4 linked regions of the Styela clava genome follow. The protein of the gene in region 1 purifies or fractionates together with the protein of each later gene. This does not show direct contact. Links are inferred from orthologs where the notes say so. Each region holds a gene or a part of one and is shown in the gene's direction. Other genes may lie near its edges.

Region 1 (7,494 bases):
TCCGCAAAGTGCCGACAACTTTTAACAGTAATTTTGAATAGTACCAATAGTGAAAAGTATTATATATAAAAGTTGTAGGGAACAAAGCGGGACTTTATGATTTATGGGGCTCCAAATATAGGCTTAAAACGAGATTTTCCGAAATTTGAGGCGTACTCGATATATCGAGGCCGAATTCGAATATGTTGCTTAATATGCCGACAACTTTTGACAACGATTTCGATCACATGTATAAATTAAGTGTCTAACACCAAAGTATGATCAACAGCGGAACAAAACTTAACAAAATATGGCCCTTCAAAAATTGACAAAAAATCAGATTTTGCTGTATTTCGTGCGAACTCAATGATTCGATGCCGAATTCGAATATAATCCGCAAAGTGCCGAGAACTTTTAACAGTAATTTTGAATATTACCAATAGTGAAAAGTAATATATATAAAAGTTGGAGGGAACAAAGCTGGACTTTATGATTTATGGGGCTCCAAATACAGGCCATAAACGAGATTTTCTGAAATTTGAGGCGTACTCGATATATCGAGGCCGAATTCGAACATGTTGCTTAATATGCCGACAACTTTTGACAACGATTTCGATCACATGTATAAGTCAAGTGTCTAACACCAAAGTATGATCAACAGCGGAACAAAACTTAACAAAATATGGCCCTTCAAAAATTGACGAAAAATCAGATTTTGCTGTATTTCGTGCGAACTCAATGATTCGATGCCGAATTCGAATATGATCCGCAAAGTGCCGACAACATTTAACAGTAATTTTGAATAGTACCAATAGTGAAAAGTATTATATATAAAAGTTGTAGGGAACAAAGCGGGACTTTATGACTTATGGGGCTCCAAATACAGGCCAAAAACGAGATTTTCCGAAATTTGAGGCGTACTCGATATATCGAGGCCCTTGACTTATACATGTGATCGAAATCGTTGTCAAAAGTTGTCGGCATATTAAGCAACATATTCGAATTCGGCCTCGATATATCGAGTACGCTTCAAATTTCGGAAAATCTCGTTTTTAGCCTGTATTTTGAGCCCATAAATCATAAAGTCCAGCTTTGTTCCCTTCAACTTTTATATATATTACTTTTCACTATTGGTAGTATTCAAAATTACTGTTAAAAGTTGTCGGCACTTTGCGGATCATATACGAATTCGGCATCGAATCATTGAGTTCGCACGAAATACAGCAAAATCTGATTTTACGTCAATTTTTGAAGGGCCATATTTTGTTAAGTTTTGTTCCGCTGTTGATCATACTTTGGTGTTAGACACTTGACTTATACATGTGATCGAAATCGTTGTCAAAAGTTGTCGGCATATAAAGCAACATATTCGAATTCGGCCTCGATATATCGAGTACGCATAAAATTTAAGAAAATCTCGTTTTTGGCCTGTATTTGGAGCCCCATAAATCATAAAGTCCCGCTTTGTTCCCTTCAACTTTTATATATAATACTTTTCACCATTGGTACTATTCAAAATTACTGTTAAAAGTTGTCGGCACTTTGCGGATCATATTCGAATTCGGCATCGAATCATTGAGTTCGCACGAAATACAGCAAAATCTGATTTTTCGTCAATTTTTGAAGAACCATATTTTGTTAAGTTATGTTCCGCTGTTGATCATACTTTGGTGGTAAACACTTGACTTATACATGTGATCGAAATCGTTGTCAAAAGTTGTCGGCATATAAAGCAACATATTCGAATTCGGCCTCGATATATCGAGTACGCACAAAATTTCAGAAAATCTCGTTTTTGGCCTGTATTTGGAGCCCCATAAATCATAAAGTCCAGCTTTGTTCCCTTCAACTTTTATATATAATACTTTTCACTTTTGCTACTATTCAAAATTACTGTTAAAAGTTGTCGGCACTTTGCGGATCATATTCGAATTCGGCATCGAATCATTGAGTTCGCACGAAATACAGCAAAATCTGATTTTTCGTCAATTTTTGAAGGGCCATATTTTGTTATGTTTTTTTTCCGCTGTTGATCATACATTGGTGTTAGACACTTGACTTATAGATGTGATCGAAATCGTTGTCAAAAGTTGTCGGCATATTAAGCAACATATTCAAATTCGGCCTCGATATATCGAGTACGCCTCAAATTTCAGAAAATCTCGTTTTTGGCCTGTATTTTGAGCCCATAAATCATAAAGTCCAGCTTTGTTCCCTTCAACTTTTATATATATTACTTTTCACTATTGGTACTATTCAAAATTACTGTTAAAAGTTGTCGGCACTTTGCGGATCATATTCGAATTCGGCATCGAATCATTGAGTTCGCACGAAATACAGCAAAATCTGATTTTTTGTCAATTTTTGAAGGGCCATATTTTGTTAAGTTTTGTTCCGCTGTTGATCATACTTTGGTGGTAGACACTTGACTCATACATGTAATCGAAATCGTTGTCAAAAGTTGTCGGCATATAAAGCAACATATTCGAATTCGGCCTCGATATATCGAGTACGCATAAAATTTCAGAAAATCTCGTTTTTGGCCTGCATTTGGAGCCCCATAAATCATAAAGTCCCGCTTTGTTCCCTTCAACTTTTATATATAATACTTTTCACCATTGGTACTATTCAAAATTACTGTTAAAAGTTGTCGGCACTTTGCGGATCATGTTCGAATTCGGCATCGAATCATTGAGTTCGCACGAAATATAGCAAAATCTGATTTTTTGTCAATTTTTGAAGGGCCATATTTTGTCAAGTTTTGCTCCGCTGTTGATCCTACTTAGGTGTTAGACACTTGACTTATACATGTGATCGAAATCGTTGTCAAAAGTTGTCGGCATATTAAGCAACATATTCGAATTTGGCCTCGATAGATCGAGTACGCCTCAAATTTCGGAAAATCTCGTTTTTGGCCTGTATTTGGAGCCCCATAAATCATAAAGTCCAGCTTTGTTCCCTTCAACTTTTATATATAATACTTTTTACTTTTGCTACTATTCAAAATTACTGTTAAAAGTTGTCGGCACTTTGCGGATCATATTCGAATTCGGCATCGAATCATTGAGTTCGAACGAAATACAGCAAAATCTGATTTTTCGTCAATTTTTGAAGGGCCATATTTTGTTAAGTTTTTTTCCGCTGTTGATCATACTTTGGTGTTAGACACTTGACTTATAGATGTGATCTAAATCGTTGTCAAAATTTGTCGGCATATTAAGCAACATATTCGAATTCGGCCTCGATATATCGAGTACGCCTCAAATTTCAGAAAATCTCGTTTTTGGCCTGTATTTTGAGCCCATAAATCACAAAGTCCAGCTTTGTTCCCTTCAACTTTTATATATATTACTTTTCACTATTGGTACTATTCAAAATTACTGTTAAAAGTTGTCGGCACTTTGCGGATCATATTCGAATTCGGCATCGAATCATTGAGTTCGCACGAAATACAGCAAAATCTGATTTTTCGTCAATTTTTGAAGGGCCATATTTTGTTAAGTTTTGTTCCGCTGTTGATCATACTTTGGTGGTAGACACTTGACTTATACATGTGATCGAAATCGTTGTCAAAAATTGTCGGCATATAAAGCAACATATTCGAATTCGGCCTCGATATATCGAGTACGCATAAAATTTCAGAAAATCTCGTTTTTGGCCTGTATTTGGAGCCCCATAAATCATAAAGTCCCGCTTTATTTCCTTCAACTTTTATATATAATACTTTTCACTATTGCTACTATTCAAAATTACTGTTAAAAGTTGTCGGCACCTTGCGGATCATATTCGAATTCGGCATCGAATCATTGAGTTCGCACGAAATATAGCAAAATCTGATTTTTTGTCAATTTTTGAAGGGCCCTATTTTGTCAAGTTTTATTCCGCTGTTGATCATACTTATGTGTTAGACACTTGACTTATACATGTGATCGAAATCGTTGTCAAAAGTTGTCGGCATATTAAGCAACATATTCGAATTTGGCCTCGATATATCGAGTACGCCTCAAATTTCGGAAAATCTCGTTTTTGGCCTGTATTTGGAGCCCCATAAATCATAAAGTCCCGCTTTGTTTCCTTCAACTTTTATATATAATACTTATCACTATTGGTACTATTCAAAATTACTGTTAAAAATTGTCGGAACTTTGCGGATCACATTCGCATTTGGTCTCGAACCCTAAAGTTTGCATGTAACATTGAAAAAAATATTTTCCGATGTTTTGTGTTCCCATCAAAAGTAGCCTATTTTTATTTTGTATTTTTTTTTCATTCTGCAAATATATTCTAGTACGTTTTAGTTTTTCTGTTTTATGTGATATACAGTTATGTATGTTGTAGTTACCACTACCAGCTAAATGTGCTTAAACTTATGTTTTGGTCTGAGTTGTTTCCTTCGGAACATATTATTTCAAATAGGATCCATTTATCCCTCATAAATATTGTAATAAGAGATCATTTTCCGCATGGGAACCATTTGAAAACTGCAGAATATTTTTCCGCTGAAATTCCGCTGGATTCACAGTGGTCTATCCCACGTGTATTCTGGTTTTGGGAGGCGCCCAGCACTGATTTATTCTCTAAATTTTTGAAAATTTGTTTCCCGCATACTACGCGAAAGCATGTCGAAGAGGCACAGGTTAGATATCGGCGATGATCACAAGAAAAAAAGGCGGTCAGAGCACGACAGGGATCGAGACAGAGATTACGATCGTAAATCAGATAACCACACTTCTATCCCGATCCCAAAGCCTGCATTGCCACTCAACCCTCTCACTCAACTTCCATATACACAAAGATATTATGACATTTTGAAGAAGCGGCTCGGTTTACCAGTGTGGGAATACAAAGAAAAATTCATGAAATTGCTAGAAAATCATCAAACACTTGTTTTGGTTGGGGAAACAGGTTCTGGAAAAACTACTCAAATTCCTCAATGGTGTGCAGAGTATGTTAGAACAGCATGTGCGGTGTCTACAAGAAAGGGTGTTGCTTGTACACAACCGCGTCGTGTGGCAGCTATGAGCGTTGCTCAGCGTGTGTCTGAAGAAATGGATGTCATGATTGGCCAAGAGGTAGGATATTCTATTCGTTTTGAAGACTGCTCATCTCAACGCACTATTTTGAAGTACATGACTGATGGTATGTTGCTCAGGGAAGCAATGGCCGATCCATTGATGGAGCGTTACAATGTTATTTTGCTAGATGAGGCTCACGAACGTACATTAGCCACTGATATTCTCCTGGGTGTTATAAAAGAAGTCACAAAGCAACGTCCGGACCTGAAAATCGTTGTTATGAGTGCCACTCTTGATGCGGGCAAATTTCAACATTATTTTGACAATGCACCATTGTTGAGCATCCCAGGTCGTACACATCCTGTTGAGATTTTTTACACACCTGAGCCAGAACGTGATTATTTAGAAGCTGCTATTCGAACCGTTATCCAGATTCATCTTTGCGAAGAAGAGGAAGGCGACATCCTTATGTTTCTTACTGGCCAAGAAGAAATTGATGAAGCATGTCGACGAATAAAAAATGAAATCGACAATCTTGGGTCAGAAGTTGGAGATGTCAAAGTGATACCACTATATTCCACCCTTCCCCCGCAACAACAGCAGCGTATTTTTGAAAGTGCTCCTCCCAAAAAACCAAATGGAGCTATTGGAAGAAAAATCGTCGTATCGACTAATATTGCAGAAACATCTTTGACAATCGATGGAATTGTCTTTGTCATAGATCCTGGATTTTCCAAGCAAAAAGTTTACAATCCTCGTATTAGAGTTGAATCGCTTCTGGTGTCTGCTATAAGTAAAGCCAGTGCACAACAGAGAGCAGGACGTGCTGGTCGAACAAGACCTGGAAAATGTTTTCGTCTTTACACTGAAAAGGCTTATAAAACAGAAATGCATGAAAATACATATCCTGAAATTTTACGTTCCAATCTTGGCTCTGTTGTTTTACAGCTCAAAAAGTTGGGAATCGATGATTTAGTACATTTTGATTTTATGGATCCTCCTGCTCCAGAAACCCTCATGCGAGCATTGGAACTACTCAACTACTTAGCTGCACTCAATGATGATGGTGATCTTACTGAACTTGGATCAATCATGGCTGAGTTTCCTCTCGATCCTCAACTTGCAAAAATGCTTGTTGCTAGTTGTGACTATAACTGCTCCAATGAAATTCTCAGCATTACTGCCATGTTGTCTGTCCCACAATGCTTTGTCCGACCAAGCGAAGCAAAAAAAGCTGCTGATGAAGCGAAAATGAGATTTGCTCATATTGATGGAGACCATTTGACTCTACTTAATGTTTATCATGCATACAAGCAAAACCAAACCAATAATCAGTGGTGTTATGACAACTTCATTAATCATCGATCGATGGCATCAGCTGACAATGTGCGACAACAATTAGCACGAATTATGGATCGATTCGCACTACCTCGTAGAAGTACTGACTTTGCTAGTCGTGACTATTACATCAATATTAGAAAAGCACTTGTTTCAGGATTTTTTATGCAAGTTGCTCATCTAGAAAGAACAGGTCACTATTTAACAGTTAAAGATAATCAAGTTGTCCAGCTACATCCTTCAACATGCCTTGATCACAAGCCCGAATGGGTTCTATATAATGAGTTTGTATTAACGACAAAGAATTACATTCGCACCAATTCTGATATTAAAGCTGATTGGTTAATCAAGATTGCACCACAATATTATCACATGGACAACTTTCCCCAATGTGAAGCGAAACGTCAGTTAGAAAGACTTATAGCGAAACAAGCTGCTAGGGAACGTGTATCTGCTGAATGATTCATTAATAACAATATGTGAAATGTAACTATCATTCCTAGACATTAGCCACATAAATGTATGTGCTCATGAACTCTTGTGGTGGTGAAAGTTGTATATGTGTGAGTTTGCTCATACAATGTAAGGAAGATATGAATCAGGGGAATTTCTTATGTTTGAACCAAATTTCACACAGTTTGTGAATTTGAGTATTGGCTCAAAATGTCTGGAAAAACAAACGCATTAAATGGAAGGTCTCTCATACTATCTCATACTGTTAAAACTTCGAAACAAAACAGGCTGCTTGATTTTCTCATGTTTTTGTCTTTCAGAGTTTTCTACAAGATATTGTTACTTTTGTGAATATGTTCCTTGTGTTATATTATTGATTGGAGAAAAGTTTGAAAATAATTTATATTTAGCATCCCAAACCTTCGAAAACCTAAAAATTGTGGGTGTTGGTTATGATAAATTCTGACTAGATGTGCAAAGAAGCAGTATTGTAGAAATCTGAAGTTTGTACTTTATCACTGAGGTTAATTTTTTTCACCTAACTGGCGAAAAGTAAGACTATTTTTAGCGAATTAGTAACTATTTTCAGACCTCCATTTGTTTCCTCTCAACCAGATTCATTGCTTTTAAACTCTTTCAAGTAACTACCTATACATGGCCTCACAATTGCAAATTGGAAAAGTTTGGATGATATTTATTTTGTGATTTC
Region 2 (7,462 bases), about 5.6 Mb from region 1:
CCATTCCAAAAATTTGTACATTTAACTGATGTCGATTATAAAATAATGAATTCCAAAACTATTTTCAGAAGAGACTGGTTCACTTCGGATATTATGAACACGGCACAACTAATTTTGTCATCTCGGTATTCTGAAGTAGACTTGTTATACAGCGCTATCTGGCCCTAAAGTGTATATTCCTTTTCAAAAATTTGTTTGTGCACGAGAATCACTGGGTAACAGCATCAAATATATTCACCCCTGACCAAAATACCATACAGATTTATGATAGCTCAAATATGAAGTACAATGAAAATGACGAATATGCGATTTCGCTTCTTACGCGGCCAAGGCAAGGAACAAATAAAGTACCAATTGAATTCCCCGCTGTCAAGCAACAAACTTTATGTGCATCGTGTGGCCCATTCTCGATTAGTTTTTGCATAGCCCTATGTAACAAAATACGACCAGAGCATATACTATTTGACGAGAAAAATCGTAGGAAGAAAATATGCGATGGTGTTTCATTAACTTTTTAAGCTATTAACCTGAATCAACAAGCGTTTTAGGTGTCGCTGCCTGAAGACCTCTTGAGGTCCCTCGCGACTCCTGTCACAAAATTTAAGTTAGTTTCCACTTGTATTTGTAATATTTTTTCATATATCATACCATGTTTAAATTGTGTTGACGAATAAATGATGATTGATTGATTGATGGTATGGTCTCTGAAAATTTTTCGTCGGTATTTAACATCAACAAGAAACGTGTTATACCCGCGTCCAGGCGATTGGAAATTCCGATACTTCGCAACTGTCAACTGTCTTACATTGAAAATCAGACCATGATCGAATGCACTTCATGTTTGAAATGGTACCATCCGAAATGTTGTAGTGTTCCAGTCCCAGTTTAGGCACTGGAAAACAGCGAAATAGAATGGAATTGCAAAAAGTGCATCCGATGCTAAATTACACGCAAAACAATATTCAACTAGATATGATGATTTACATTCTCATTTTTTTGAGGTACATCGTTCAAGTCAGACGAAGGATCAGTCTGTTTTACCTATTTGGCTTAACATGCCCTTTGCCAGGTTTTTCTCTCTTGGTCTAGTCTACAATACTGAGATGAAAACCGCCACGATGGTTGGCACCTTGACGTGGTGTGGTGGCTTTCTAGTAAGACCAACCAACCATTTTAGGAAATTTTTTAAAATATAAGATAGATCCCCGGTAGGGAAGAATGAGATGATTTCACAATTCGTTTATGTTATCTTACTTAAATTGAGGCACGCCATTATAATCTATACAGTATGTGGGTTGTGATAGCGTTGTTTATTAATTTTAAGTCGGATTCTTGTTTGGGTCATGTGTGACAAGATATATATTATTATATATATGTTCCCGACATACAATTTTTCTTAAACACGGTTCGAGGTTACTTAACAATATATATGTTTATTTGGGATATTTTATTTAAAAGTGGGGCACGTGATTGAAAAGTACAGAATTTGGGGTTGAAATACTGATATTTATTACATTTGAAGTAAAATTCCTGTTTGAGCCATGTTTGACAAGATATTAATATATGTTCCCGACATACGATTTTTCTCAAACTTGGTTCGAGGTTACTTCACAATATGTTCTTTTGGGATATCTTATCTAAAAGTGGGGCACATAATCAAAAAGTACAAACTTTTGGGTTGAAATACTAATATTTATTAATTTCGATGTAAAATTCATGGTTTCGCCATGTTTGACAAGATACTGTTGTTGTTCACCAATGCCAAGCAATAAAGCCATTTTACTTTTGTACAGTTGTAGTCTAGGTATACAAGTATATAAATTACAAGAACAAAATTGCCTGGATGTGTAGTAATTGATAGACCATTATTTTTTAATGAAAAGAAAAAAATACAAAGAACATTATGCCATTGAAAATGTACGGCCCCGTAGTGATGTACACCAAAGTTGGGTCTCATGTAGTTTCGTACCTAACATACTTCTAGTGATATTTATTACATTTGATGTAAAATTCCTGATTGAGCCATGTTTGACAAGATATTAATATATGTTCCCGACATACAAATTTTCTCAAACTTGGTTTGAAATGACTTCACAATATGTTTTTTTGAAATGTCTTATCTAAAAGTGGGGCACCTAATTAAAAAGTATAGAATTTAGGGTTAAAATGCAGATATTTATTAATTTTGATGTGAAATTCCTGTTCGGCCATGTTTGACAATGTATTATTATATGTTCCCAACATACAAATTTTATAAAACTTGGATTAGGATGACTTCATTTTAAGTTCATTCTTATATCACCTTCAAAAATCTGCCCGACCATCGGAAATTACAGATGAGTTTTGTGCAATTCCGAGTGTAGCAAAATTTCGCCGTAAATCTGGCAAGTGCTTTGCGACTAGATTCCCCTTTTTCGCCATGTTAAATTGTTTTCTGGCAACGCTATTTTACCGTTCCGAAAACGAGAGAGAGATATGTCCGCTAGGGCAACTTTGGGTTTGGGGGTCTCCTTACCTAACATACCGTACTTCTAGTGGGTGTAGCATAACAATATGATATGTCAACTCAATCCTAACCCCCATCTGACTACGGCCTCTTGACTACGTCATGCTACGCTCACTAGAAGTATGTACGAAACTGCATGAGACCCAACTTCGGTGTACCGTACATCACTACGGTGCCGTACGGTACATTTTCAATGGCATAATGTTCTTTGTATTTTTTTCTTTTCATTAATTAATAATGGTCTATCAATTACTACACATCCAGGCAATTTGTTCTTGTAATTTATATACCTGTATACCTGGACTACAACTGTACAAACGCAAAATGGCTTTTTTGCTTGGCATTGGTGAACAAGATAAAGCTTTGGAGAGCAATGCTGAATTATTGCAACAAATGGCATTGTTGAAGTATTTACAGTCTAATGAATCTTCGTCTGCCTCAAGTACAATATACCAGTGGATTACTGCAGCACGAATTGGTAATGAACTGTACCAGAGAGTTTCAGGAAAACGCAAGATTGAACAATTCAGAGCTGAATTTTTGGCAGGAGTTGTATCATATCTGCAGAAAAACCCAAATGCATCTCCCAAAAGTCAGAAGACAGAAATTGAAAGATTAATTGGTGTTTTTATCCTGCAAATGAAGTCTTTATAAGTGAAAAAAGATGATATTTTTGGAAATAATTTTGATTCCATTTATGATTATTTTGCTTTTGCACTTACGCATTTGCAATATTGCAGTATTTTGAACTTTGAAAATATGAATTGTTTCTGATATTTCACTTAACATTGACTTTTTTACTATTTTTGTTTTGAACCATGGCTCTCATCCATTAACCCTTTGTTAGATTAAACTTTTGTTAGATTAAAAAGTGCATACAAGGCTATTACTGGGACTAGTAGAGGTTGTGAATAATACATGTTTTGGTTTTAAGAAACGCTTTCATTTCAAACATATCGACACATGTAGATGCATTTTCATTTTTATACCTCACAGATTGTTGATATATTGTGGTTGATACCTTTGATTGTATTATATTTTCACAAAGTCTGTCGCTTGATTGACGACATTGACTAACACAGATTTATATCCAATATTACATTGTCATTTAGCTAGGCCAAAATATGCTTGGTGCACCCACTTAAAATTATATACAATGCTGTGGAAACATTCATATTGTAAAACAGCTCATCCACAAAATAATATAATTTTATTGTGTCTCCTTGACTACTTTAGCATTCTGAGGAGGAGCCATTATGCGGTCTCCTTATGAAACAATGCAAAAGTTTGTAAGTTGGCATTTTTGATTGAGGTGATCTTTATAACAATGCCGTTTTTATGCTTTGTTGGGCACTATGTAAAATAAATTTTTGACAATACTGCATGGGGAAGAATTCATTTAGTGCTTCTGTTTTTTCTGTTTTGTTAAGTATGCTATGGAGAATTTATTTTTCTCCTATCGCCAGACAATTTAGTCTAAACTGTCAATGTGAATAAATATAGGAGCAGTCGTAGAAATTGATATATATTTATGTCATCGAAAAAAGGGTTTTGCATATTTGCTTTTAAATTAATAATAGAATTAAGTACAGCATATCAGAGACAATTTTCCAACACATTCCTACGTTAGCTAATAATAAATTTCGACTGAATTGCAAGTTGTATTATTTGTAAATGGTGATTCAAATTGAGAAAAATAAACATATTGGTATATTTCAATAAAATATGTAGAAAATCGTAAATATACCTTATATTAATCACAATGTTATTGGATGCATAACTGAAATAGAAAATCCTTGTAGTAGAAATTTCATGAATATTCATTTACAGCAAACTTTAATTTTAAAAAATAAAAAGTATGATATGGCTGTTTAGATTTGATATAAGGAAAGAATTGTTTATTTTCATTGTTTATTTTTATTTGTATGCTTGAAAAAGGGTTTAATATCTTGTATAAATATTCGTGTACTTATCTTCAAATATAGCTACATAGAGCCTGTAAGATTTAGCAATATATTGCCTGCATTTTCCAATCTATAATATGGATGTTCTACAACCACCAGTGGGTAAGATGAATTTATCTCTTATTTTGAAAATTTCAACTCAAATTTTATTGGCTTTGAGAATAAAATTGTGAAATCATGTTTTGGGTTCATTTACTTTATATAAATGTTGTTACCTAATAAAACTGCTAAAATATCCAAAATCAGACTTATTCAGAATAAACTTTTTTTTTTTTAAAAACATCTTTTCAAAAGAACCTGAGGTGAAAAATATCATTGACAAATTGGCAAACTTTGTTGCAAGAAATGGAGCAGAATTTGAGAAGATGACGAAAGAAAAACAAAAAGGGAACCCAAAATTTTCATTTTTATTTGGCGGGGAACATTATAATTACTACCAATACAAACTATCAACAGAACAACAAAGTAAGGAAATTATTTTTTATATTTTTGGGAAATTTAATTTTGTGTTTGTTCAAATGAAATCCAGTATAAGTTTCGAATATTCGTTTTACATCTTTTGCCTGTAAGGGTGCTGTTCAAAGACGCAACGGTCTATTAGAAAGTTTTTCTTTCTTAATTATGGTATTCAATCTAGATTACACCACTGATCATATTGCAGAGTTTTTACATCAGTCTGATTGTCCAAAGTTACTCATGAGTCATGACTTTTAAAATCTCATGTTTTTATATTATATCCTGTTTACATTAAACCTGTTGCAAATTTTGAAGTTTGTATTTATACTCTCTCATCATGTTAATTTTTCGCTGTATTCTTTTTTATTGCATTTTCAGTTCAAAATCAGCAAAAAGCAAAATTGAATGCGCAAGTAGTTGCACAAGAAGCAATGGTACAACATTCATTGCAGAATGCACCTTGGCAACGAAATCCTCAACAACAGCAAAGTCAGCAACAAGCAATTCCACCTCTGATGCCACAATTCCCAAGGTTTCCCCCTAATATGAGAATGGTATGTCAGGTGTTCTGTTTTTTGTATTTTTGGTAGATGGATGATGGCTAATACACAGTGTTAGTCTTGTATGTGGTTTTATATCTATTTCTTTTTGTAATCTCATTTTATATACTGATCTTCTTATTATATTATAGCCAATGTCGAATGCTCCGCCATGGCAGCCACAGTCCCAAAGATTCATGCCACCGAATTCAGGACCAAACATGCATCAGCCGCCACCTCCGTTCCCAGGCCCCGGTAATAACCAGACAGTACCAAGTTAGTGACACTTTGATTCATCAAAATTTGAAGTCGAAGTGACAAAATTTTTTTTTTAATGAAAACTGTTTTTAGACATGCCGATGCCTCCTAATCAGCAAATGGGTGGACAACCACCACCACAAAATTTCAATATGCCGTATCGACAACCACCACAGAACATGCCACCCAGGACATCAAGGTTTAGTCAGTTACCACCAGAGCAGTCTCAAACTTTACCAAGTCAAAATCAGGTTTGAAATTTGTCATTTCATTTTAGTTCATATATATATCAGTGGTTCTCAATGTGGTATGGGGGAGCTTTTAAAATGGTACGCGAGCAGCTTTGAATTATTGCAACAATTAGTTTTTGAGTTTGCTAATATATGGCAGCAACACTTTCTCTTTATATTTAATACTGTATGTATTCGCTAAACGGGTTCATAGCGCTACCAGTCCTTGTCTTTAGAGATAGCCCTCGTCCGCTACTGCCCAACTAAAATGAAACGAGAGTGTAATAATTAAAACCTTTCAGCTTTGACAGTAGACGATGCAAATTCTTTCGTGCTTCTGCACACAATTATTACGTTGTTAGGACATATATTTAATATGTTGAAACTTTGCACGAAGATCTAGAAATGGATGTAGTGCCACATTATAAAATAGTCCCATAGCACGTTGCTTGTGCCTTTGTTGCCCACCCCAAAAGGGGGCTTCAATGGTGTTACGCTGTTGGAGTAAAAAAAAACACTAAAGAACCACTGATATAGATGTACAAATTGAAAATTTGATATGTTCACATAGTATTCTGTCATGTTATCAAACTATGTTCTACTCTAAACAGGGCGTTGGGCAAGCAGCTGTTGAATAAATTATATTGTTTGATGTAGTTCATTTTGTTCAGGAACCTGAAGACAAAAAAGCATCAGACTTGAGTCAAGGCAAAGACGAAGAAGGCCAAGAAAATGAAGAATATCAAATTGTTCAAGCTGAAAACGAAGCCAAAATAAAAATTGAGAAAAGCAGCAGTAACTTAAAACAACAATATGAGGTCATGATGCACATCTGTACTATTAACTATATACAGGATGACGCAAAATGAATAGAACTCATAAATTTATTTAATACCTAAACACTTGAACTCCTGTTTGTGTATGATTATACCTACAAGTTTCAGTATTCTAGGACAGTTTGCACCAGTTATGTTCTCTCCACAATATGTTTCGAATTTCCCGGGTTCTGTTTTTTCAGGTTACCCTGGAATTTTGTTAATTGCATTCAAGATGCGCACAATTTTTCTTTATCGCAGGCCTGTAAATGGCTTTTTTCAAATTTTTGTATTTGTATTCTTTATAATAAATTTTTAATTCAGGTTTTGATGCACCAACAACAAGAAAAAATTGATGCTGCAATAGCTCAGACCGAAGAAGAAAAATTAAGAAATCTCGCTTCGAGTACAGGAATTATAACTTCTGATTTCGATGTTGTTTTGCAACCCATTATCAACACTTGCACCAAGGACTCAATTTCAGTGAGCAATAAGCTTGTTGGTCCTTTGTTATAGTTCTGGACTGTTTGCTAATTTATTTTGGATAAACAACGGCAATATTTGTTACAATTCAGTAGACTTGTAAAGAAATGTTAGTACAAAGTACAAAGAAGCTGACTAATGCATTGGGAAATTTATATTCAGTTAATTTACTCAATTCTAATTTAGTAGATAGATTTAGTTGTGGTAAGAG
Region 3 (7,322 bases), about 2.6 Mb from region 1:
GCTTGGTTCATAACAAATGAGCACAGCGTGTGGAGACTAGACGAACATGCATTCAAGCATCGCATGACAATGGAAAGACCTCATCAAATTTGTAACAAATATCTGGAAACGCAAACTAGGTATGTTAGAGGAGACTCACATTTACAGATCCGGTATTCCTGTTATCCTGGCACAATTGGACTCACCGACTTTCCACATGAACTTTCAGACAAATACTACTGGACGCAATGGATTTACAGCCAAACCGTGGAAAGTAATAATTTTGGGTGTGAGAACCTCGTCGCTATACAGGCAAAGACACAATTTGGGAACAAGTTTGCCAGCGAAACTGGAGATGTGTTCGAGCATTTTGGGCCAAATGCCGGATTTACATGCAAAGATAAGCACCAATTGAATGGAAAATGCAATAATTACAAGGTCAGAGGCTTATGCCAACGGGTACAAAAGAATTATGGATCGATGGATTCTTCCTTCAAGTCGTTAAAGAAAGAAAATGCTCTAGACCCAAATAAAATGGGTGTGCCTTTATCTGTATTGCACACAAAGTCTGCCTTCTGCGAACTATTTGGGATATGTTGTGATAATGTCCGGAGTAAACACGTTAAAAACGTCGTTCCATCGTCGGTACTTCTATCTGCCCAGTATATGTGCAAGGAATACAGACAATGTTGTGATGTATAACATATATAGGTGATAACCACTGAAATATTGAGGCAACTGAATTTTGCTACATTAGACAATCATGCTTTTATTGCCAACTCAAACAAATCACTAGAAATAACACCAAAAAAGCGGTTGATTGTTATTATCCGAGACACCCTGTGTCGCAATGTATATATAAAAATAATTTTTTATTGTATTTTTAATAAAATTGCATGTATCTGAGTGATTTCTCAGTTTATGTCTTATAATTAAACGCCATTAGCAAAATGTTTTTACTATTTATTCAATTTTTTAAATGAGTGCTTCAAATGCAACATGGGATAAACAATCTCAGTGATAGAAGAATGCAGATAAAATCCAAGATAATATTGAACTAGCGTTCCGCAATATTCATCCTTGGTTTCTAGAAAGGATTAGCTCAGGTTTCGAATGATTTCTATCATTCATAAAAATATATTTCAGAGTAAGAAAACATAATAACAAAATTTACAAGCTTCAGTAAACAGATGTCATTTGTATAAAGTCCTATTTGCGAGTACGCGGGAATTTGCTTGTGCGAAATTTAAAAAGTTGGACATTGACTATTTTACAGAGTATATTTTAAAAAAATATATGGTGTATTATCTCATAATAGCTTCATATGGAATATAATATTTTGCGACAGCGAAACAACAAAAAAAAATGTACTTACCTATTCACTCTATATTATGATAAATCAAAAATTTGAAGGCAAGCTGAAAGTACTTCAGATTTACCTGTTATCAAAAATGTTAGAAACGAAAGTAGGAAATACTTATTATTATACTATATTTTAGAAATAAATCACCACTGACGAGTTACGTATGGGTTCATATTTGGTACTGAACTAGCAATTCAAAACTGTCAGAGAAAAAGTAAAATAGCAAGGAATTACACACTCACGGCGCACTTGTACGAAAAAAAAGGCTGCATTTAAATGAAACTCAATTTTATTATATGCCTTTCAAAGTTTGTAAACATTTAGGCCTATAGAACAAAGGCAAAAGGTCAACTATTCTTCCTCATCTCTGCCTGATTTTCCTATAAAATTGTAAACTAATCACTCATGTTCGCTAAACCCGGTCCAACAGATAAATAAACTGCAGCAAAGAGTGTCTCTCTGCATTGTTATGTAACAATACAGGCAGACCCTACCTAACAGAAAGTAAACGACATAGAAACGTGGAATGAATTTATTGATTCATATACACAGCATTTAAAATATGAAACAATAAAAAATTGATAATAAATACAATTTGTGAAATATTCAATCATATTTTAGTTGTTTTTAAACACAATTCTGTTATTTTTCGCGGCGAACTTAGCAACTCGGCGCGGCGCACCGTTTGGGAACCGCTGTCATAGAGGATTTAGGCATATTCTGCATCCAAGAATAATCAAATTTGATGGAGAGACTGATGCCATTCAATGCTACTTAGGCCTAAGTTGCACTGAAAAAATTTTCAGGGATGTAAGTTTCGAATATTTTATTTTCGAATATATATATATATATATATAATTTGTAATGGTAATTCTGATTCTGTATAACACCGCCCCCCCATCTACACTGATAAATATGCCATAGTCGTTATATTTAAATACAATTATAATTGAGTTAGGAATTACGGAATAACAGCGTGGAATCGCACCTCAAAATTAGGGGGGGGGGGTGTTTGAAATTTTAGGGGGGGTGTTCACCCCCTATAGGGGGTGTAGGGATATCACTGGATCATATGTGTACACATCTGGATTAGTCGAATAACATTGAGCAAAACCATATGTACAACCCATGATGGTTGCGGTTTATCAAAAGCTGTAAATGGTAAGGAAAATATACACAAAGGGCTGAGGTATTCGATTTTGCAGAAACCCCAATGCGTCGTGCTATCACTTCATATAATCTTCATGAATAATTTTTTCTTTTTCAAATAGTACCACGACGTATTTTTTGAAATTTCTCCGAATTTATGTTTATTCATATCCTTATGTAAAATGATGTATTCAAACCCTGTGTCTCTCAGAACACGGATGATTAATCTTAATGTTAGCTCATGCCCTAGATATATATATTTATTGTCAATACTGTATCTTTAATGGATTTTTCCAGAATCGTGAGAATTTTGAGACATTTTAAGCAAACCGAAATAATTTGATCGTCAATGAAATATTTGGGTGAATCTATCAATCACCAACTATCGGCGCGGTGGTGTGGCTCAACGGGCTAAGCGTTAGGAATACGCTCGCCACCGCACCTCTAATTACTCTGCGTGGGTTCGCAGGTTCGAACCCCATGCAGGGATGGTTATGTGCGAGAGGATTGCTGGACTCCTCGCCATCGTTGGGTGGTTCACGTAACCGCTGGTCGGTTACGGCTTCCTCCACCACCAAGTCCATGCTTCCGAAAAAAACAAACAATACAGTAAAAAACTAATCCCATACCCGACTTGGAATGGTAACCGGACGAGAGGCCGTGGTTCGCCATATGGATAAGCCGTCTTATCGGCTTTCCTCTCCCCCGGGATAAATATGTAAATCCTATCCTATCCTATTTCCCAACAGTATCCAGTGCCGGATTCATCATTATGCAAGGTAGGCTGAAGCCTAGGTGCCTCGACATGCAATTTTGCAGGCTTGTTTAAAAATTTTACCGGTTTGAATATTTTTTGATTTGAATATTAATGGGTTGATAATTCTTGTCATCATTTTTTTCCCGTTATCAAATAAAAATTAAAGGGAAGTAGGATAGGATTTACATATTTATCCCGGGGGAGAGGAAAGCCGATAAGACGGCTTATACATATGTATAACTGTATTGTTTGTTTTCGGAAGCATGGACTTGGTGATAGAGGAAGCCGTAACCGACCAGCGGTTACGTGAACCACCCAACGACGGCGAGGAGTCCAGCAATCCTCTCGCACATAACCATCCCTGCATGGGATTCGAACCTGCGAACCCACGCAGAGTAATTAGAGGTGCGGTAATTAGAGTCCTGAAGTATGCGTACCAAGGTGGCGGACACCGGAACGTAGAATGTGTACCAGGTTAGGGTTGGGCCACAATTTTATTCCAATTTTCCTTATATTAGTTCTGTTACGAGTACGAGTTACTTTTGTCGGTACAGTCGATAACCGAACCGGTCGATGGGCGAGCGTCGATGTAACCCGACGCTATCGATTTTCTCGCTTTACTTGTAAAAATTAAAATTTGTCATTACTCACGTGACTAAATCCTTTTGCTTTGCCAGATTTTTCATGAAAGTTTTTTTCGACTTGTCATCTATTGTACTCCTTTCTGTCAGCCAATTGAACGGTATTCGCTAAACACCGGCACAAAAAATATAATAGTTTTCAACTACATTTTAATTGAAACAATGGTTTGTACTATAATATTATTTTGGAAATTTGCAGTGGCAAAGGAGACATTCGAGTTGACAACACACACACGCACAAGTGAAGATGAACAATTATCTAAAGACTCTATATTAGAAGAAACACATTCTTGCACTTGCTAAAACTGTATTTTAGACAATAAACACTGTGGTTTTACTTTACGGTCGAATTTGATAGATCTTGACTTTCTTAGTAAATAAATGACGGTAATCAAATAGAAAAAAACTGGCAACGTCAATTCAACGAATAAGCGTGTCGTACTGTCGTCGCTGATTTCTTTCGCTTTCCCGCTTTTCTGCTTTCAGACGATTTATCCGTCTGTCCTTGGTCGACTCTTCAAGCTTATTTGTGGAACAGGATTTACTTATTTATGGCGTCTTCTAATTCTCGTAAGTGAATTATTTTATGTCATTTTCTTATTCAACATTTGGAAACTGTCTTTATTTTTAAGCAGTTTTTATGAAATAATAATCTAGTAACTAAGCGCTCCGTTCACTCAGACTGCTGGACTGTCTGACTGTAGGTAGGCTATAACCCCGACATCAAAAGACATCAATTATAAGAGTGATTGCAAATCCTCCTTTACGAGACAGTCTGGGCCTCCATATTGACTCAAAACCGCAATATTTTTTTTCCAAGCATTACTAGGTAAATATGAATAACATAACCAGCGATAAATAAAAACAATCATCGTTGCAAGTGAGTCCTGTTAAATGAATTTATCGAAAGCAATTTAAATTAGGGCCGTCAAATTGGCATTTTCAGATTTTAGAGTAATTTATGCACGAATTTAAATCTGTCAATTTGATAATAGGACCGGCCACATGCATGCTACAGTGCTAGATAATATTTATCGGGTGACTATATACAGATATACAATGTGGGGAAAAAAAGGCTTTCGGAACAATATCGTTATCAATCGTCCTTCGCATATTATAGGTGTCATGACAAATTATTCACTGTATTTCAGCCTAAATTTTGATCCACTTTTTTCATTTTTTTTGTTATTTTTCTATATCAGATAATGACAAAGTGACAGTAAAATAGTTGGTCCAAAGTTATAAGACGACATTTAATCCAAAATAATCTTGAAAGGGCTGCACTGAAAATCCTACGGTTGTAATGAGCATCATTATCAATATCATCATCATTCAGTCATTTGAGTTTAAAAGAATCCAAACATATTTGCACTGACAGTAGGCTTTAAAAATATTCAAATAATCAAGTTTGAAATTAAATTTGTAATTTGTACTTTCCAGAATATGGATCCTCCGGTGGATATGGACAGCCATCTTATGGTGCATCTGGTGGACAGGGATATGGACAATCTAATTACTCTCAAAGCGGGGGTGGCACTCAAGGTTATGGTCAGCAGGTAAATTGTATTTGAACAGTTTTAAAATTTTAAGATTGAATTTACGTTAGTAAGACATCAAAATTATAATAATGTTAAATACATTAGCCTATAATAATATTTATACCTGAATTTAGAAAAGAGTTTTATTTATTACGATATTCAATCAATAGTGAACCATCGTTGCTTCTGGCAATCCCCGTTTTGCATAATCATTGGTCCCTACAAAATGTTAAAAAATTTTATTTTTTGTTCAGGGCTATGGATCAGCTGGTGGGCAACAAAGCGGAGGCGCAGGCGGAGTGACTAGTGCCCAAGGATATGGTTCAAGCTATCAGCAACAGGGTGGTTATGGCAGCTATGGATCGAACAACCAATCTGGAGGTATGTGGTAGCAATATAATTATGACTGAGACAGTGAGTCAGAGTTTGACATGCTTTTATTGATATAAAGTCGGAGTCCTAATAGAAATAGAAGTCTGACTTCCAAACATTTGCTTGGAGTCAAAATCACAGATGGAAACTAAAATGTATTGGGTTTATTGGGCGTTTTCCAAGTCTTGATATAAAATGAAATAAGGCTTGAATACATCAACAAATTATCTTTCGTAGCTGGAATTCTGAGTTGAAATTGCTTCAATCCGATATCATATGCCAAATTTTTATTAATCAGGAATCGGACGCATGGTACAGCAGTCATTTTTGAAATAGCTCAGATTTGATAATCTCGTTTAAATCCCCCTTAACTCAGCCCTGGTTAAATCGTATGTATTTGATTGGTCATATCCTGTACTACATATCAATTTTCCAGGCCAGGGTTATGGACAACAGCAGACTGGAGCTGCACCTGCTGCTGCTGCTTCTGCTGGTGGTAGTACTAGTTATGGTGGTCAGAAAAACAATAGCGGCTACCAACAAGGTGGAGCCAGTGGACAGCAATCTGGACAACAGCAAGGTGGTGGCTATGGTGGTCAGCAACAACAGAGTGGTTACAGTGGACAGCAAGGTGGTTATGGTGGACCACAACAAAGTGGTTATGGTGGTCAGCAGCAAGGTGGCTATGGTGGACAGCAGCAAGGAGGATATGGGGGAGGTCATCGTGGTGGACAACAGCAGTCTCAGCAATCGTATGGATCCGGTGGAAATTCAGGTGGCAGTGGGAGCTACGGCCAGGTGAATTGAAATTTTGTTTTGGGTGAATTTGAAAATGAACTGTTTTTATAATGTTTGTTTTCTTGCAGTCTGGCGGAGGTAGCAGAAATCAATCATACGGCCAACGGGACAGTGGTTCCGGGGGAGGTTCACAGTCTTATGGTCAGCAAGGTGGTGGGGGAGGAGGCGGCTACAGAAATGATCAGTCTGGTAAGCTGGACTATACTCGTTTAGTTTCAAACAATATATATATATATATATATGATTAATTTATATTGCTTGATACATAAGTTTAAATAATTATAAATTAATATTCCCATTTCTAACTTACTTATTCTTATGGCATGCTAGGTGGTGGAAACTACGGTGGAGACCAGGGTCCCAATAACTATAATCAAAGTCAACAGGGGCCCATGGGGCAATATGGAAATAAGAACCAGGGTTATCAAGATAGAGGGTATGGTTCTGGTGAGTAACTTAGCCATCTGTTTGATGGTTAGAGTGTGAAATTAGCAATATCATTTAAAAAATATTTTCCTGCTCAAGTAGGAATATAATTCAATCACTGTCTGTGTTTTTTAAATTTTTCGCTGAGGTGAATTTATGTTACTGACCTGTAAATGATTGGCTATTTCAGGTGGCGGAGGTGGTAGAGGATATGACAGTAGGGGGGGTGGACGAGGAAGCAGATTTGATCAAGGTGGTGGAAGAGATGGTGGTGGTCGTGGTAGAGGTGGTGGTGATCG
Region 4 (7,265 bases), on another chromosome or scaffold:
AGAGTAGGGCTCAGTGCATACTAAAGGAAAAATGGCGAAGTGGCTGTTACCAATAATTATCCTTCAATTAGTCGCCTTGTTGTCGGCACTAAGGGTAAGTTAAAACTAATTTTGGATGAAATTCGCCAGAAAATGCATATATACATGTAACAGTCTTGTCGGTAAAGCTTTACTCAGGTGCGGACTAGTCTATCTTATCAAAGAACCATGCTTTGATAAAAAAAAATATAACACGCTTTTATGTATATATATACATAGTAAACACCATTTAATTAATAATAATATATGTTCTTTCTGATAAATACATTACTGAAGTCATATTTTCCTTCGTTTAGGTCAAACGCGGCGCAGGGCCTACAATTATTCCATTGAATGATACCGCAAAGATGACAATTTTAAATCGTCACAACGAATTAAGGCGATCGAGCGGATCCTCCAACATGAGATATATGGTATGGGAAGAAATATGCCGTGGAGAGGAATTCGAGAAACCGTGATTTATATTATGAAAATGACTACTGTATAAATAATCATTGATTAATTGATCCATGATATAATGTAACTGGCTCGTACTGTTTATAAATATGTAAACATATTATGGATTCATTAATTTTATCTTACGTGTAAATAATTTATGTTAATACATTTCATATATATTTAGACTTGGGACAGTGAACTTGCATACTTGGCTCAGGAATATTGCAAACAATGTCACTTTGGTCACAATAAAAATAGGAAACATTCGCGAGGATGGAGGTACGACATGGCTATTTTTTTTACCAAAGTTACGTTATATATATATATTTTATTTCCACTAATAATGGAATGCATACATTTAGCGTCGGTGAAAACATACATGCTTCAAGTGGAACAATAAAAAACGTAGAAAATTCAGTGCAATCATGGTTTAGTGAAATTAGCTATTTTGATTACAACTCAAAAACTTGTCAATCAGGAAAAATGTGCGGACATTACACTCAGGTATCGTATGAAAACATTGTAACGTGATTAAAAACTCTCGAATTAAAATACTGCAAATAGAAAAGAATAACTACTCGTTGTCGTCCTCTCGCCAGGCATATTTGGTGCGATAATAATGTTGCTATATTCATCTTTAAAATGGAAGATATGCAAATGCATTACGTATTACGGATAACGGAATCCTAAAATTCGCTTTGACTCATATAGATGAAGTCACCATTTGAGACGAATCAGACATGACTAAATTGGGTACACATCCACTTTGGAAATAGAACAGGCTACGCAACACGTGAAAATGATTGCTCCACCATTATTTTTCGGAGATTAGCGTTAGCCAACTAATACGTTCACATCATTATAACTTTTGAATTACGTACTTGAAAATGGACTGTCATACAAAAATACGTGGTTCTTATTCCAGCACTTAATTATTGTATATCCTATTTCAATAGGTTGTCTGGGCCAAGACGTTCAAAGTCGGATGTGCAATGGTTTCATGCAAAACTTTATCTGGAGTAGACTGGGGATCTGGCACTATGTTTTTGTGCAATTATGCGACCGCGTAAGTTTTGTTACCAAATAGTTAAATGGTTAAATGACAGATTCATTTGCTTCAGCTGTGAAGTTATACATTCCAGTAATTTGCACAGTAAGCCAGTCGCTCGCTTAATGGGTATATTGTAACATGAGCATCTTTATCTTATGTGTAAATTAAATGTTCATATTTTTGTTAAAGATGGACAAGTTTCACTATTCTCAATGCTAGATATCCACAAGAATATAATTTTTTGTGAGAAGTGTAAAACATTTTCAATGCAAAACATCTAATAAAACAATATGTTGCCTTCTGAGATCAGCTGTGTACTGATTGCTATTCTGTAACAACTTAAAAAGTTCTGCATCGAGTTTTTCCTGACTTTTAGGGAAAAAAATCATTTTTGTTATAAACCTCAAAATCGATCAATATATTCCAAAATTAATATCGATCATTTTTCAAAGGTATGGCCCAACTAACCACTCTTGCTTTTGACCATAAACTAACTAACTCCTACGTTTCATACAGGGGAAATGTATATATGTCTGGTAAAATGATGTCCGTGTTTGAAAAAGGAACTGCATGCTCCAAGTGTGGAGAAAAGGACTACTGCAGAAATCAACTGTGTGGTACGTGAATATGTTTTGTTCTTGGTTGAAATTTCATGTTTAAGCTTTAAATGTCATACGTGGCATGATTGCGGTGCGATTTCATTTATTCCCATATTAAACAACTTCTACTAATTTATATTTTTCAGCCAACAGCGAAAGAGACTTCATTACCAATTCAGCTGATGAAAGTGTACCAAGTAATGGTGATATTTTGTATAGGCTAATATTGTCCAAATCCAAACTCAACAGAATAAAGCAACCGAGGTTAAAGTAACCAATTAAAAACCATTGGTATAGTATGCCTACATTCAAAACAAAAATATATTTTTCTATTACAGCTTCTTCTAATAGCGCTGGATCCACTGCGGCTATCGTGATTCTTGTATTGCTATTGTTAGCTCTACTTGGATTTGTTATCTTTCGTGAGAAAAACAATATTTCAGACAAGTTTAATACCTGGAAAAGGTAAAAATGTCATAAATAATACTGAAACCTATATGAATATTTTTTAAGCCTTTATCGTTCGAAGCAATTAAAAACATTGGACTTCACTAATATTTTTTACAGAATTACATATTTATTTAGAGGCAACAAAAGCAACGTACCGCATCGTCCCAACGCTGGATCAGGTGAAGCAAGAGCAAACGATGCTTATGTTCAAGATAAAACACGGCCACCTGTTCCTCCTCCAACGTACCGTTAGATACACATAATTACCTTAAACTATCAGAATAGTTTTCAAAATATATAATATTTGAGCTCTAAAATATTTTCATTATATATATAATAACTCAGTATTTTATTTAAATTCGATGCCTTCAATCTGGACTTCAATTTATTTTACTAAAATCGTAATTTTGAGATCATAGTTAAACGAAACAAATTTTATTTATTTATCTGTTTAATATGTACTAATCTCTAATTATCAATAATTATGTTGTGGAACAAGCTTATACTATTTCTATTAAAGGCCGACTCAATTATTTATTCTCATAATCAACTACTGTTTATTTTACCGGAATTTATTATAACAAATAGAATTAATATTTATAAAAATTCAACCAAAATCGATTTTATTATTATGATATTTTGTAAACTTTTTTTTTACATATTATCAACTGAAAGATGGTATTATTCAGTGGTTGGATTCAGGATGTTCGCACGGGTTCGCGCGAATCGAACCTGGTCATGTTTTCCAGGGCTATAAGTTTGTCACGATTTTCAAAATGATAGAATCTGTTATTAACGCATCCAATACAAGAGAGAACCCATTTTTAACATTTTGAATCCAATCAGTATCATCAACCATGCATAAACATCACTAAATTAGGACTAGACTGCTTAGATTATTATTCTGTTATGGGCTAAATGAAATTCTAACATTCTAATCCAAAACCTGGCTGGAAAGTCTAGCTGTAACACAGGATGGGAGATGAAGTAAGCTGGTGTAAATTGGAACAGTTATACAACACCGGTTAGATTGGCCGGAACATCGGGAAAATATACAATACATTTACTAATGGGTTGCTGAAGAAATGTATGTTTTCTTTACGAATTGATTTGATTGGTCGAAATGGCTGGTATTGACCATCTTACTAGATTTATGAAACAACCGAGTCGAAAACTATTAAAATCATTTCACTATTATATCGTACAAAATAGTGAGATCTTTCTTTTCTTTTTATACGGATATATTAAATAAAATATAACTACTAAATCGTCAATTTATTGTATATTACCAATGATTAAATAAATGCAGTGTCATTCTCAGTTCTGTATTCTTCTAAATAATATTGCATTGCATTTAGAGTTCCACAAAGATTGATATATATAGCCCAGGGGTTTCCAAACTTTATTGACCGCGAGCCAAAATTTGAATCGGAAGGATGTACGCGGGCCGGAAGTATGTAGTGTCCCGGAAGTATGCGAGGGTTTAGCTGGGGTTCAGTGGATTCACGTTTGACATTTTTCGAAACATGTTTGTTTGACTCATAATGGCGCTTCATGTGGTATTGTTTCAGAATTGGAATAGTTCGTTGGCAAAGTGGACAAATCTCTGAAGCGTGATTCTTTTCAATAAAGAAACACGAACGATGCTATTCATCCGAGGAAAGTCTGTTTTCAGAGTCTAGTTTATTATTTGGCATCTCTAACCTTTCTTCTATGACTGATAACTAAATTACTACCCTATGTAATCCTAATACCGGTACGTATAACTGAGATATCGGCATAATCGAATTGTTACCATGAACACGAGCTTAAAATGGGATAACGACATAACAATTGGCGGTTTCTAGGTTGTAAAAAGGTTAAAACAAAATCTATGTCAATATTTCACTTAAGCTCGGCGGGCCGCGGTTTGGGAACCCCTGATATAGCCCAATAGAATTCAGTGGTTTTAGATATATATCTGGCATGGAAACAAGTACATATGTAAAACTGTGAATAAAATAGAGGCAATTGAAGTCTTTATAATGCCCACTTTTCGTTACGAGATAAGGTTTAAAATTACCTATACCTGGATCACCAATCATCTGTACAATACTGCCGAAAGTGGCAGTATAACTGTATGATTCGACATTCACATTATTATGCAATTTTCAAGCAAACATTTAATTTTAAATTTTATTGTTAAGTAGAAACTTATTTAAAATATTAACGAATGAATGTAAATTCGTTCAACGGTTATTGTTTGATAATTCACGCCATAATATAAATGGAAACAAATATAACACGAAAAATCTGGCATCACTAACAAACTACTCATATTGAAAAGCACTACGACCCTTCAGTTCACTCTGCGAAGCTAGCAGCAGATTTTCGAATTCGACTGGCTTGCTGTGTTTGTGTAACGTTATACCTATCGGGACGTTCGCTGTTGCTGATTTATATGGTCCTGGTTTTTCGTTATCTGCGATGGAGACCACGTTAGAACAACAGCGTAGGCTGCATGAAGAAAAAGAGCGTTTATATGATGCTATGACAAAGGAAAGCATGCATAAGAAATCAGCGGTTCGTGAACAAATCAACTCAGACCACAGAATGAGGCATCTGCTAGATCGTGTTATGGACAATTCAGTTAGATTACAGGAGCTGTACGAAGACAAGGACGGTTTAAGAAAAGCTGAAATACAAGCAATTGCGGGTCCAAATGAATTTGGTGAGTTTTATAAACGGTTACGGGAAATCAAAGATTTTCACAAAAAACATCCAAATGAAGTGTTTGTTCCCATGTCTATGGAATTTGAAGAGTTGAATCAAGCGAGAGAAAATGCAAGCGATGAAGCAACAATACTTGTTGAATTTACTGATGAAGAGTCCTATGGTCGCTTTTTAGATTTACATGAATCACACTTGCGTTATATTAACATAAAAGGCATTGAAAAACTAACTTATGTTAGATATTTAGATGCATTTGATCGCTTGTTTGAAATTCCACGAGATAGGAAAAATACTCAATATCATGACTACATTGATGGTTTATTGCAGTATCTTGTATCGTTTGTTGAACGCATTAAACCTTTACTCGACTTGAATGTCGAGCATGATGAGGTTTTGAAAAAGTTTGAATTGCAATGGGAAACAAATGAATTTCCTGGCTGGGGTAAAGAGGCTGGAAGTGCGATGGCTCATTCTGGAGCTCATCTTGATCTAAGTGCTTTCACATCAGCAGAAGAACTTGCATCATTAGGTCTTGATAGGTTGAAGTCTGCGCTGATGGCATTGAGTCTGAAGTGTGGTGGAACTTTAGAGCAAAGAGCTGAAAGATTGTTCAGCACGAAAGGAAAAACGATGGATGAAATTGAAACATCATTGTATTCTAAAAGTAAAATTAAAGCTGGAAAGAAGGATTTAACATCTCAACGCAATAAAGAAACTGCCATGGTAGAGGCACAAATATATCACCTAGTTGAGCTTGTTAGTGAACAAAGGGCTGCCACAAGGGATAATGTACAACGTCGACAAGCACGTACTGATACAGAGCGTGATGAAGATGAGGATGATGTTATGTCTGATAGTGATTCAGGAGATGATGAGGATGAAGTGATTTATAATCCCAAGAATCTTCCTCTTGGCTGGGATGGCAAACCGATCCCTTACTGGCTTTATAAACTCCATGGTCTTAATATCAACTACAGCTGTGAGATTTGCGGAAATCAAACTTACAGAGGACCAAAGGCATTTCAACGACATTTTGCTGAATGGCGTCATGCACATGGGATGCGTTGCCTTGGTATTCCTAACACTGCCCATTTTGCCAATGTTACAAAAATTGAAGATGCGATGGCGTTGTGGTCAAAAATTAAAGAAATGAAAAATGCAGAGAGATGGAATCCAGACCAAGAAGAGGAATATGAAGACTCTGCTGGAAATGTTGTCTCAAAAAAGACATACGAGGACCTGAAAAGACAAGGCTTATTATGAGCATTTGTGTTGTTTATCAACTTTAGGAAATGCGAAAGAGCTCGTGGACTTAAACTCAATCAACCTGTGTTCTTACAGGAGTAGCATTAAGAAATAAACTTGAACATTCTTGAATCATCAGAAATATTTTTTATATATTTGCATTCGATAGAACTCTCTGGATTGGTATAAATACACTGGTATTGTCAGGTACTTTGACTGAATTGATATCACTTTACATGCCAATATTCTTGATGAATTCCACTTATCATTGCGAACTCAACAATGTACACATGGAGAGATTTAAAAAATATTTTTCGCTCACCATGAAATGAAAGGCTGTTACCATGTTCTTTCTGAATATCAGCAAATTGATATTGGGTAATTTAATGAGCATTGAATTGGTGATAGCCAAAATATAATATTGTTAAGAAAGGATGGGATTAGTTGTAATTTATCGCCGTTGAGATATGACATTGGTTTTAGTTGACACGTTCATTGATGCTAGCTTGTTGTCATTCATGTTTGTAAGTATCTTCCTCATTGGCCCATTGTCAGTTCTAATGTTAAGGGCTTTTTAGCCCTAATTTCAAAAGATGCCTGATGAAGTTATTAGCAAATGAAGCTTTTATTGTTGCTATGTCAGAAATTTGTAAATTCTATCATAGAAGAAATAGACCCAACAAAACTGTACAATCAGTTCTGCACAAAAAAAAACGCAGTTAGTATGGATA

The links.
Region 2: the proteins of putative pre-mRNA-splicing factor ATP-dependent RNA helicase PRP1 (region 1) and calcium homeostasis endoplasmic reticulum protein-like purify together in Homo sapiens (co-immunoprecipitation; 3 studies listed by BioGRID and IntAct, with this or other methods). This does not show direct contact. The link is inferred for Styela clava from reciprocal best matches to the Homo sapiens genes DHX15 and CHERP.
Region 3: the proteins of putative pre-mRNA-splicing factor ATP-dependent RNA helicase PRP1 (region 1) and uncharacterized protein LOC120345481 purify together in Homo sapiens (affinity purification with mass spectrometry; 4 studies listed by BioGRID and IntAct, with this or other methods). This does not show direct contact. The link is inferred for Styela clava from reciprocal best matches to the Homo sapiens genes DHX15 and FUS.
Region 4: the proteins of putative pre-mRNA-splicing factor ATP-dependent RNA helicase PRP1 (region 1) and splicing factor 3A subunit 3-like fractionate together in Homo sapiens (co-fractionation; 3 studies listed by BioGRID and IntAct, with this or other methods). This does not show direct contact. The link is inferred for Styela clava from reciprocal best matches to the Homo sapiens genes DHX15 and SF3A3.

The regions. Positions count from the first base shown.
Region 1 is NC_135250.1:17,942,160-17,949,653, reverse strand, and holds the start of putative pre-mRNA-splicing factor ATP-dependent RNA helicase PRP1, read left to right. Parts: upstream 1-4,494; 5' UTR 4,495-4,598; coding exon 4,599-6,794; 3' UTR 6,795-7,494.
Region 2 is NC_135250.1:12,309,930-12,317,391, reverse strand, and holds the start of calcium homeostasis endoplasmic reticulum protein-like, read left to right. Parts: upstream 1-4,441; 5' UTR 4,442-4,547; coding exon 4,548-4,572; intron 4,573-4,764; coding exon 4,765-4,935; intron 4,936-5,304; coding exon 5,305-5,480; intron 5,481-5,617; coding exon 5,618-5,741; intron 5,742-5,816; coding exon 5,817-5,974; intron 5,975-6,624; coding exon 6,625-6,771; intron 6,772-7,092; coding exon 7,093-7,251; intron 7,252-7,462. Other genes in the region: uncharacterized protein LOC144419834, read left to right, coding at 2,831-3,160. UniProt on the Homo sapiens protein: Involved in calcium homeostasis, growth and proliferation.
Region 3 is NC_135250.1:20,547,119-20,554,440, forward strand, and holds the start of uncharacterized protein LOC120345481, read left to right. Parts: upstream 1-4,301; 5' UTR 4,302-4,440; coding exon 4,441-4,459; intron 4,460-5,329; coding exon 5,330-5,445; intron 5,446-5,681; coding exon 5,682-5,808; intron 5,809-6,235; coding exon 6,236-6,597; intron 6,598-6,665; coding exon 6,666-6,786; intron 6,787-6,927; coding exon 6,928-7,044; intron 7,045-7,213; coding exon 7,214-7,322. Other genes in the region: salivary peroxidase/catechol oxidase-like, read left to right, coding at 1-681. UniProt on the Homo sapiens protein: DNA/RNA-binding protein that plays a role in various cellular processes such as transcription regulation, RNA splicing, RNA transport, DNA repair and damage response. Binds to ssRNA containing the consensus sequence 5'-AGGUAA-3'.
Region 4 is NC_135256.1:16,760,595-16,767,859, reverse strand, and holds splicing factor 3A subunit 3-like, read left to right. Parts: upstream 1-4,892; 5' UTR 4,893-5,043; coding exon 5,044-6,552; 3' UTR 6,553-6,744; downstream 6,745-7,265. Other genes in the region: GLIPR1-like protein 1, read left to right, coding at 32-94, 336-452, 662-756, 840-981, 1,434-1,543, 2,045-2,145, 2,274-2,324, 2,466-2,592 and 1 more. UniProt on the Homo sapiens protein: Component of the 17S U2 SnRNP complex of the spliceosome, a large ribonucleoprotein complex that removes introns from transcribed pre-mRNAs.